Linked DNA regions of Drosophila melanogaster. The protein of the gene in region 1 interacts with the protein of each later gene in a pairwise test. Each region holds a gene or a part of one and is shown in the gene's direction. Other genes may lie near its edges.

The links.
Region 2: the proteins of Nha1 (region 1) and CG6443 interact in a two-hybrid assay, tested with the Drosophila melanogaster proteins (one large-scale study listed by BioGRID).
Region 3: the proteins of Nha1 (region 1) and CG3309 interact in a two-hybrid assay, tested with the Drosophila melanogaster proteins (one large-scale study listed by BioGRID).

Annotation. Positions count from the first base shown.
Region 1 is NT_033779.5:6,868,704-6,872,459, reverse strand, and holds the start of Nha1 (Na[+]/H[+] hydrogen antiporter 1), read left to right. Parts: upstream 1-2,070; 5' UTR 2,071-2,326; intron 2,327-3,756.
Region 2 is NT_033779.5:10,727,177-10,730,855, forward strand, and holds CG6443 (uncharacterized protein), read left to right. Parts: upstream 1-1,801; 5' UTR 1,802-1,926; intron 1,927-2,004; 5' UTR 2,005-2,063; coding exon 2,064-2,132; intron 2,133-2,195; coding exon 2,196-3,026; 3' UTR 3,027-3,122; downstream 3,123-3,679. Other genes in the region: CG6431 (uncharacterized protein), read left to right, coding at 429-577, 658-1,092, 1,176-1,380, 1,437-1,500; CG17118 (uncharacterized protein), read left to right, coding at 3,123-3,206, 3,264-3,455, 3,522-3,679.
Region 3 is NC_004354.4:5,327,626-5,331,381, reverse strand, and holds the start of CG3309 (uncharacterized protein), read left to right. Parts: upstream 1-2,034; 5' UTR 2,035-2,112; coding exon 2,113-3,213; intron 3,214-3,272; coding exon 3,273-3,756. Other genes in the region: XRCC1, read right to left, coding at 1-1,168, 1,230-1,280.

The DNA of each region.
Region 1 (3,756 bases):
CAGTGGCTGGCGGTGACAACGACAACAAAACTTACTCAGGCATCGCTTTACCCCGCGCGCAGGACTTACCGTCGCCCACAGGCAGGACCTTTGGCGACACTGAGTGACACCTTGTGAGCGGATCACCGCAATTTCTCGCAGTGCACGACCCAGACATGACACTAGCCGGGCTTCCATCCAACCAACCAGTCAGCCAGCCAGCCAGCCAGCCAGCAGCCAGCCATCCAATCGAGCTGGCTCCTTTTGGGTGGCTTCGTCGCATTTGATGCTTGACATTGTTGGCAGTCGATATTGGTTGTAATTAGCTTTAATTGAAATTGCTACACTCCCGTCCAGCCAACACGGGTATGTATGTATGTATGTATGTATGCGCTGGTGTGTGGCACCGTGATTTGGGTTTTAATGGGGGAAATGGGAAAATGTTTGTAATTTTGGCAAAGTTAATTTATGGAGACCCCGCACGAATCCCTGACCCAGCCGCATTTTCATCAGCCACCTCGATGTCATGACGCATTTTACATTGGCCGTTTGCCACTCAAATAATTAGAGAAGTTTCATCCGAAAAGTTCATACATTTCTGCAATTTTGCGGATTGTTTGAATTGAATTCGATTCGGCCATTTGCCGTTTTGGCTGCAAATTGGTATGAGTTGCGAAAACAATATGCACATAGATAGAAAGTAGGTAAATATATTGCCGGAAATTAGATAAACAAATTTACAATAAATATTAAATGGCAGCAGTGAAATCAATTTTAATGCTATGCCGGCATACCTTTATGCGGGCAATGTCAGAAATATCAAATTAATCTCTGGCTAAAAATAACAATAATCATTTTAACCAAATTATCAATTGTAAGCACTATTTGCACTATTTGATTTCATTATAACATTGTTTTCCCCAAATACCGCATATCATGTACTTATATTGCACTAATCAAAGTTAGTTTACCCAGGTGAATCGCAGTGGAAATCTTTGAGGAGTTTATGGACACATAAGCACGGTTTATGGCGCAGATATCAAAAGGAATACTATTCATTGTCTGCGAGAGAACACGTTTATCAGTTTTGTGTGTATCGCGATTTGTCAGTTGAAATTCGGTAAGGTAAATAAACGAAAATCATACATTTGGGTTTTATGCAAATGGTAAATAAACAAAGTGACATCTTTATCGGTGTTTGTTTACGCCAAATGATTAATCTAATATAATATTTGGGCAAGTATTTAGATATTTAGAAGCTATTTGTATTATTGATACGCATGACGAGCACTGTAAAGTCAAGTCAATTAGACCGCCAATTAACTAATTGACTTTTCCACCGCCATGCATTCAATGTGACTCAATTACCAAATCCCCTCTAAAGTTCATCAAACGATGGGCAAACGAAACGTCGCGACCATATCAATACGAATTGATTAACGTGGCCATAAAGCCATCAAGCGCTTTCGATTTCCGATTGATTGAGCTTCTCAAGACTGCCTAATTAAAGAAAAACCAATCGTTATCTCGGGTCATCAATCATATTTTTTATTGCATACTTTTTCGTGTCACATATAGGGCCATATAAACAATGTATTTTCACACCGCCAAGAGTACCAGTTATGACATTGCATTTGCCAATGGTAAATTCTCAACTGAATTTATGGCCTGGGAAGCGTTGAGGAAATTATTTTGTTGACCATTTTATGGGTCGCACAACTCGAGAGGGCCTTAAGTTCGTGATATACTCGCGGCAGTGCAGTAGCCACATGAAGCTATATAGTTGGCTTACACCATTGGCTGCTTGATCGCCTTGATTTACGCCTCTTCTACCAGAAGAGCGGGCTTTGGGCCACCTTTATTTTCAGGTGGGTGGATCATACAAGAAGATAAGACTTACAGCCACATAACTTCGGGCAATTCTTCGCAAATCGGAGAGTGAGTAGGTGAGCAAGTGAGTGAGTGAGTGCGTGAATGAATGGGTGAGCAAGAGAGCGGTTTCAATTCGATTCGCTTCAATTCTTCCGATCGCGTTTACAGACGTGAGTGTGTGTGTGTGCCTATAAAACGCTGGCAGGAATTTGCAGCGACTTAGTCGTGCTTTTGGCCAGGTTGCGGTTCGACTTCGCCACAGTTTTCCGCCTCCGTGGTCCGCGTTTTGTGAATATGAAAGTAAAAGTCAACGCAGAACGACTAACTGAGTTCTAATTAGTCGAGTGCTGGCGCCATTCCGAGAAAAGTGAAGAAGATTAAAACACGAAGACAACGAAAAGTGACAAAGTGCTTTCAGATTTGAAACATCAACGAAAGTTGCCTAATTTCCTCCTGGCCGCCGTGTGAATACAAAGTAGGTTTTGCCACTCATTCCCATCTTCGAGTTCAGTGGCTGTAATAAAGTAAATACTTAAGATATTTCACATTTCTGGCTGTACGTGTTTTTTTTTTTGTTATGGCGACTCCAATCGAAATGCCAAAGCAGCCAAAACAGTGCAAATGCAAATTACATTCGTTTATGATTAAAACACCCGCTTGCGACTTTGAGCTGTTATTAATTTTGCTCATATATTTCACTTTATTTACGTTTTGCTGACCATTTGCATATTGACCGAAATTAATGAAATGTGAATGATTTCTTAATGAACTCGAAATGAATGCATAAGAATATTTTATTGCATGAGGAAAATCAATTTGCAGTGCTACCAATTGTATCATCATTTAAATGCTATTAAGCGAACATCTCAAGCGGGTTAACCCTTTAATGTAAGCTGTGAACGAGTTTCAGAACGCATTAATTCCGTATCAGTATCAATAAAATCAATCACATTGCCAAGGAAATGCGCAGTGCGTATAACGGTTGTGCATTGTATTATATATTATATACATTGTATCACAATCAAAGAGAAGGTTTCTGCATCTACGTTTCGAATAATTAGATCTACATATAATGAGTGTTTCAACTTTGATTCTGTCATGTCATACACAGATATATAGCACGTATATTGCTCTACTTTAGATACTTCAGTTACTTAAAGATACAAATTTAGTTTCCGTCTTTTGAAGTTGCATTGATACGAAGTAATATAACTTATATATTAATATGAATTAATACTCAACTTTAATTCTTTTCTGTGCACTGCAATAGAATAAACAATGATCCAGATCAAAACGTGCCGAAAAACACCTTAATGATAGCAGTAAATATTACCAAAATGTGTAACCTCTATCCGAAACAGTATCTCGAGTATACCCATCATTTAAGTACATTATTTGTGCGGTTTAGATAAGCAGAGGAAGTCTCACCATGATAAAGGAAATACATGCATAATTAAACGAGAAGAGTGATACACGGGCCAAATCTTATCGAATGCCTCGAAAATTGGGCCAATAAACACTTACCACAATTAGCAGTTGTCAATGGAACTAATGACAAAGGCCAAAGCCAGACGAAACGAGTGTAGAACAGCGTGAAGTGGATCCGACTGTGGATTACAGATATTGATAATGTTTTAATAAACAATTCGCGCAATTGAGGCAGATAAACCCCCAGTGGAAAGCACCTGAGACACACTGAAATCCAAAGAGGGCTCGATGGCTCGAAGGAAGGGGGCTCGGGGGAAATTGAAAGCGAAATCGAAATCGAATCTGTAGCCGATTATATAGAAACAACATTCATGGCTGATTGAGATTCGATTCGAGTGGAGTGGGTCTGTTAATGAAACACTCGTAAGTGGAGTAATCACACACATATTTCGCGATCCGATAGCAATCGTGAAACCA
Region 2 (3,679 bases), 3.9 Mb from region 1:
AGCCTGCTGATTGATGGTTGTATAACAGCGGGAAATGACCGGGCTGACACCTCCGTTCTGGGAAATCCGCGAAGGAATACAAATTGCTTTTTCTGCAACTATTTAGTCTCGTTAAGAATTTCTGGAAACCGTTTGGCTTGTAATTGGTGATGTATTTTAACTCATAGTTGTAAAGTCTATAATTTGATCCACTTTAAATGAATTTTTCATTATTACTAGCTTGATATTCAATTGAAAATCTTTCAAGATTAACTAAAGTTAAGAGTTAGCATGCCCAGATCTGTGCTTGCTGCACGAGAGATTTCTACGGTTTTATACACACATGGAATTTCCATAGTTCTATTTAAATGTATGCACAAAAAAGAAAACAGAGATATCTGCAAAATACTATTCCATTATTATATAGTGGCTTTTTACAATATTTTCAGCAATGGACCGCGTCGTGGAACTCCTTTAAATGTTAAGAACCCAATAACGCTTTATAAAGGTGGATTTAGCAAGCACCGCGAGACTGTCTTCATAATACACGGATTCAATGGAACTGCCATAGATATTCACCTGCAATTCCTTCGAGATGGTGAGTGCATCTATCTGTTAAATTATTATATTCTACAATATTAAGCTATAATTTATATAACTTTAACTCTCTCTTTTTAGCTTACCTATCCCGCGATTTCAATGTCATTACAGTGGACTGGCGACCTTTGACCCGCTATCCATGCTACCTCCACTCGCTTATAAACACCAGGTTAACTGCGCAATGCACCGCCCAGATCTACGCCTTCCTCACCCACTACGGAGCTGTCCGGGAACGGATCACTTGCGTGGGTCACTCCCTGGGCGCCCACATCTGCGGCATGATCAGCAACCACCTGACGCGGAAACAGTATCGCATCATTGGATTGGATCCCGCCCGGCCTTTAATTGAGCGCATGAAGAGCAACAAGTTTCGGTTGTCGATCGATGATGCCAACGTCATTCAGGTGCTCCACACCAATGCCGGTTTCCTGGGCCAGGAGGATAACTCCGGGCATCTAAACTACTGTGTCAACGGTGGACGCATCCAGCCGTTCTGCAAAGGAAATCCAATCAGTAAGGCTAAATTAAAGTAGTTTAATACCCTCTTTCTCGGAAAAAGAAATCATATATAAATAAATGTGCTCTCTATCAAACAGGAAAATCGCGATGTTCGCACTTCTTGAGCATCTGCTACTTGGCCACTGCCACATTTAAACACAATAAGTTCATGGGAGTACCGTGTCCCAATGGCTGCCTGAATCTTAGTGGATCCAAGAGGCTGCCAGTGAGCGGCAAAGTGAATCCCTTCGAGTTCGCCTCGCTGATAAGGGAGTACCACATAGGCAACGATGCCCCCGATGAGTAAGTTTATTAAAAACCATATATATAATTTATAACCAATTTCATATTTGATTTAGCGCCCGAGGCTGCATTTGCATTGATGTGCCGTATGCCAAGCACTGCCCCTTTACGGATGCGTAGGAGCTGGTCTTCAGTAGTTTGTAATTCTATGATAAAGCTGTCGATAATAAATTCAAGTAATATTATTTTTTTGGTCTTTGGGTATTTTAGTAAATATGAAGGAAAAATGAGAAATAATTACTTACCTTCTACTACACGTAGTAGGAGTTTATTATTAAAATGTTGCAAATTCCAAATTTAGTTTTCGAAAATTTAAAAATCAAATTCGATATACTAAGAGTTTGGTTCACCGTAATATACCAAAATTTATATCGAATATATGATATCGATGTTTGCAATCGTCATTGCAGTCGCTACAGCTGTTTGGTGTTTTACCATCTCTATGGACATTGTGTATATAAAACATTTGTTATTGCTCATAACAGAATTTCTCCATTTACTACAACCTGAAGATATATAGTTATTTATATCGTTAGTTTATTTAAAGTAAGTAAGATACTTATACCGTGTAAAATGTAAAACAATTGAAAAATATCATAACCCATTGTAAATCGCATATTATAGTTTGCCCAACAAGGAATTCCCAGGAAATATATTGTAATTCTTGAGATAAATATATAATCATGGGTTGCGATGGAGGAACTATTCCCAGGCGCGATGAGCTGGTGCGCGTGAAGCAAAAGCCAGAGCAGGTAAGTCTATTCGATTGGAGCACCTCCTAGCCAGACCGAAATATCATTTCTCGAACCCTACAGAAAGACAAAGATGCGGAGAGGGAGTTCCGTTGGCGCCACTGCACCTTGACCCAGCAAAGCCTCCAGGAGCCGATCGCCATGTGCGGCATGGGTAGGCTCTATTCCAAGCAGAGCGTCATTGAGCGACTGCTGGAGAAGGAACCGATGCCAGAGACAGCTGCGCACGTGAAGAGCATGAAGGACATTCGCCAGCTTAATCCCACACCCAATCCCGCCTTCACCGAGGAGGACAAAACTGAGGGACTGCTGGACACACGACATTCTCCTTACATCTGCAAGCTGATTGGCCTGGAGATGTCCGGCAAATTTCGCTTTGTGGCCCTTTGGAGCTGCGGATGCGTTTTATCAGAGCGTGCCTTGAAACAGATCAAAGGCAGTGTGGCTAGCACTTGTCCGCTGTGCCAGGCTGCCTATAGCGTTGAGGACGTGGTGGTCCTCAATGGCAACGAGGAGGACATGGAGCTCATGCGGGTCAAGATGGAAATGCGTGCGGCCAAGCGTAAGTCCTCCAAAAAGGACAAGAAGAGTGCCAAAAAGGTGGAGGTGAAAGCGGAGCCCGCAGAGGAACAGGAGCCAGTGGCGTCCACATCCAAGGCTGCAGCCGCAGAGAAGCCCACTACAAGCACAAAAACCAAGGCGGTGGCGCCGGTCAAACGACTGGGCGCCGTTAATGCAATGCAGGATCCCGAACTGAAGCGTCTCAAGAGCGACTTCAGCGTGGCCAAGGACCCGAAGGCCAGCGATGTTTACAAGTCCCTTTTCACCTCCCATAAAACCGAAAAGGACCAGGAGCGCGCCCACTGGGTCACCTATAATCCATTCTACAATTAGTCTAGATTTCGTTTAAGTTTGCTGTGTTAACTCAGTCACATGTCCATAGTTTGATCGTTGAAACCACACACACAGTTTCAAAATATACAACCGACAATGTATCGTGCAGCCTATCAAAAAGGTTTCCTTACCGTGCTTTACAGCGTAGGCAGTTCGCCCCTGAACAACTGGTCTTCCTATGTGAGTATCTGGCATTCAATGCAGCTGCCTCGTCTCTAGAAAGCATCCTTGTAACAGACCAAAAACGGGTATATCAAACGGATCTACGATGAGGACATCAAGTCCCTGGTGCTCGAGATAATGGGCTCAAATGTGTCCACCACATTCATACACTGCCCCAGCGAATGCAAGGAGCAGCTGGGCATCAAGTTGCCCTTCCTGGTGCTCCTTATAAAGAACATGCACAAGTACTTTTGCTTCGAAGTTAAGGTAAGGCCAAGTGCTATGAATTTATAGTAAACTCTGGACTGCACAATGATGACAATATATCCTTAGATTCAAGACGATCAGCGCTTCATGCGCCGTTTCCGAGTGTCCAATTTCCAGAGCAAGACCTCCGTGAAGCCCTTCTGCACGGCGATGCCGATGGGCATGTCACCGGGGTGGAACCAGATCCAGTTTAACCTGGCCGACTTCACGCGCCGTGCTTACGG
Region 3 (3,756 bases), on another chromosome or scaffold:
TGGCGGGCGTTACTGCGACTGCGGTGGGAGATGAATGTCGCTTTTGCGCAGTTGGGCGCGAACTTTCCTTGGAATTCGAGGTGTCCGAAGATCTGTGATCATGCTTAGATTTCTCCTTCCTCCTGGACTTCTCCTCCTTCGAATGCGATCTTTCCTCTTTTCGTAATTGCTCTTTCTCTTCTTTGGCTGTGGATTTTTCTCTGGAGGACGAATTGTGCTCCTTTGCCGGTGGTTTGTCTTCTTTGCTGATTGACTTATCCAAGGAGTGCCTGCTTGACTTTTTCTTTCTGCTCTCCCTCTCCTTTTCCTGCTCCAATCGCCGTCGATCCTTGTCCGCCTCCAGATGCTTGCTCAGCCGTTGTTTCTTTGCATTGACCTCAGCGTCCTTCACGTCCTCATCATCGTCGCCGAACAAGAGTGAAGCTCGATTGCGATCCAGGGGCTTGGCATCCAATGGCGTCGGAGAAACCGATCGCAGAGCATTGAGAACTGGTGATGGCGACGTCGAGGTTTTGGGCGATGCAGCCAGGCTAGAAACCTTGCCAGCGCTCAGCCTTCGCAGGGCCGTGGAGCCGGCGTCCCGAATGGCCGCTGCTGTGGAGGTCGCACTGATCGCGGGCGACTTGTGCTGCGTCTGCTTCTTCCAGCTGTGAAATCTGTTCACTTGATTGTCCGTTTCCGAGTCCGGCGACTCCTCGCGCAGCTTAAAGGTCCCGAATTGCATAACACCCTGCGGCACTAGGGATTTGACCTTAGGCGCCGCAGCAGCCACTACATGCACCTTGACGAATGAGAGCCCGTATGGCACATGACGATTGAAGGGCTGTGTGCAGACTATCTGAAGCAGCTTCCACTTCTCCGGCAGTGCACTCTCCGCCAGCGAAGTGCTACTGAAACAGCGAACGCGATTTGGATTGCTGGAATTCTTGCTCTCGATGGGCGTCATAAACGAACTGGATAGCAGCAGCTCGCGGAAATCGTCCGCCTGGCAGCCTGTTCGACTGACCAGCACCTCGATGAAGGCGGCATGTTCGTTGCCAATATCGATGCCCGTAATCTGTTGCGGCTCCTCGAACTCCAGCACAACGTATGCGGATTTCTCTCCCGGCGCCTTGGTTCGCCACTTCTTGCCGGCGTTTTCCTTGAGCAGATTCGCCGCTACGTGCACCTGGCCAGCGGGATTGCATAGTTATATAGATGTACATTTGTTATATAGGAGCATTACTCACCGCATCTTCGCTGCTCACTTCGCGTACGGACTTGAAAAGCGCAATTGGCATTTCGCAAGTCGCATGAATTTACACTGAGACGCCGATGATTTTGCGGCAAATTGCTTTGCCGACAGTTGCGCCTGCGATTAAACTGATTGTCGAAAGGGAATTGCGTCGGTTGCATGTGTTGCCATGTGCGCTAGAATGTTTGTTTATTTCTTTTATCTTTTGATGATGGGCGGTGAATTATGCTGATTTTGCTTAACCAACTATTTCAAAAATAAAACCTGTATTGTGTGCACTAATTGCCCATCACTAGCTGTGCTGACAGCCTAGCTGGATATCGCTAAATATGGTCTCTTCGTCACCATATCAAAATACTAGCTAGTTAATTGGTTAACCAACACTGGTCACTTCAATTCAACTTTATTTCATTACGTTTATTAAGAAAATGCTAAAGATCTGTTTTGTTTGCAAAGGTTATTATAATTATATTATATTATATTATTCATTATATTCATTATATTATATTATATTATTCAAGAGATTAAATCGCCAAAGTGGCAGCGCTGGTGAAAAGCAAAAAAAAGGTGAAAGTTTTGAAATGATAAATTTGCACATAGAGATGAGCAGTGATTGCAAACGGTGACAAGAAACAAGATAAATATTTAGTAATATATAAAAATAATAACAAACCGTTAAGAAAAGCTAACGAACAGTATGACTGCGCTAATTTATTATATTTAAAAACAAATGATTGTTTATTAGCAAATACTATCGCATTAAATGGTGACTGGCGATAATAACGGTAACTGCAAGCAGTGAACAACTATCGCCCTTCCCTGATTCCCCTTGTCAATGTCGCTGGCAAATAAATAAATAAATATCAACAAAATACAGAATGAGCGCGGATGCGAGAATCAAGCAGATGGCGCCATCGCTGGACACCACCGAACGGGAGAGGGAGCACCAGAACGTGGATGCCACCAACTCGAACTCGGAGCCCAGTGCCAGCGATTGGGTGAACTTCTCGCAATGGATGCACTGCTTCTGCGTGGTCACCTTCGATCTAAATCTTGGGCAGGCGCTGGAGCACGTCTATCCGCCGGCTTTCATGCCCAGCGACCAGGAGGTTAGCAACATTTGCTACATGGCCTTCCCGGACTCAAATTCCGGCTGCATGGGCGACACCAAGTTCCACATGCGATTGCGCTGCACAACGCGTCGGGATTCCTTGCCGGGCTACAATGCGGAATGCTCGCCGGCGCTGCGACAGGATGGCTCCCACTACTGGGGCTTCGTCTACTTTCGCCAGAAGCGGGACGCGAATCTGCCGCGTGGTTACTTCCAGAAGAGCTTTATAATCATTACACGACTGCCGTTCTTCAATCTGTACTACGACATACTCTCCCAGCTGGCGCCGCGCTACTTTGAGGAGGGCACCGACGTCCTGCGTCTGGCCAGCGAGCAAATTAATCGCCAGTGGCCCGGCCTGCGAGTGGGTAAGCCGCTCCAGCTGCCTCTGCTGGATTGCAGCTATCAGATCTGCATACCGCGGACCAGCAGCAGTCGAAAGTCGACGGCCGATGGAGGCATCGCAGGTGGTGCGGTGGAATCGCCACCAGCCATGGCTGCTTGCCCGGCAGCCAAAGTGCTGGCCTCCGTTAATGAAATCGAACTCTTCCGCTCCCTGGACTTTGTCATGGAGCAACTGTACACGCTGTGGGAGCTGGTCATCACCGCCGAGCCCATTGTTGTCGTTGGCACCTCACCCGCCGACTGCTCCCACATGGTGCAGACCCTTCTGGCCATGATTGCTCCGCTGGAGTATTGCGCCGAGGCGCGTCCCTACTTCACCATTCACGACAGCGAATTTCGCGAATTCACACAAGAGTGCAGCAGCAAGACCACACTGCCCGCCTGCATTTTGGGCGTCACGAATCCGTTCTTTGTGAAGCTCCTGAAGGATTGGCCGCACATGCTGCGACTGGTGGACAACCAGGTGAGTGTCCCAATCCCAGTTAACGCAATACAAAATATATCCGTCTTGCTCGTTTTCAGAAGAACATGCAGCAGCAACAGCATCTGCTGCTGGGCCAAAAACACGCAAGGAACATCGCATCGGCCACATCATTTTCCAGTTCAACGGAACTCGGTGGCCGTATAGCACTGAAATCGAACACCAATCTCAATGGCAGCTCCAGTTCCAGCAATGGCTCGGGCGATGCCTCGTCCGCGGGCCTGCACAGTAAATATAGGCCGTACCTGAAAAAGGACAAGGCGCTGATCAAAAAGGTGCTGCTGGGCATGAAGACCAAGCGGCCGGAGCATGTGCAAACCGCACTGATACGACGCCATCTGCTCGAGCTGACGCAAAGCTTTATGATACCACTGGAACGGTATATGGCATCACTGATGCCGCTGCAAAAGGACATCAGTCCGTTTAAGTCGGCGCCGAATGCCAACAGCTTTAAGCTGGATGACTTTCTGGGCACGCTGGAAACCGCTGGGCCGCAGCTAACGTCGCCGCTGAAGGGCGACTGGA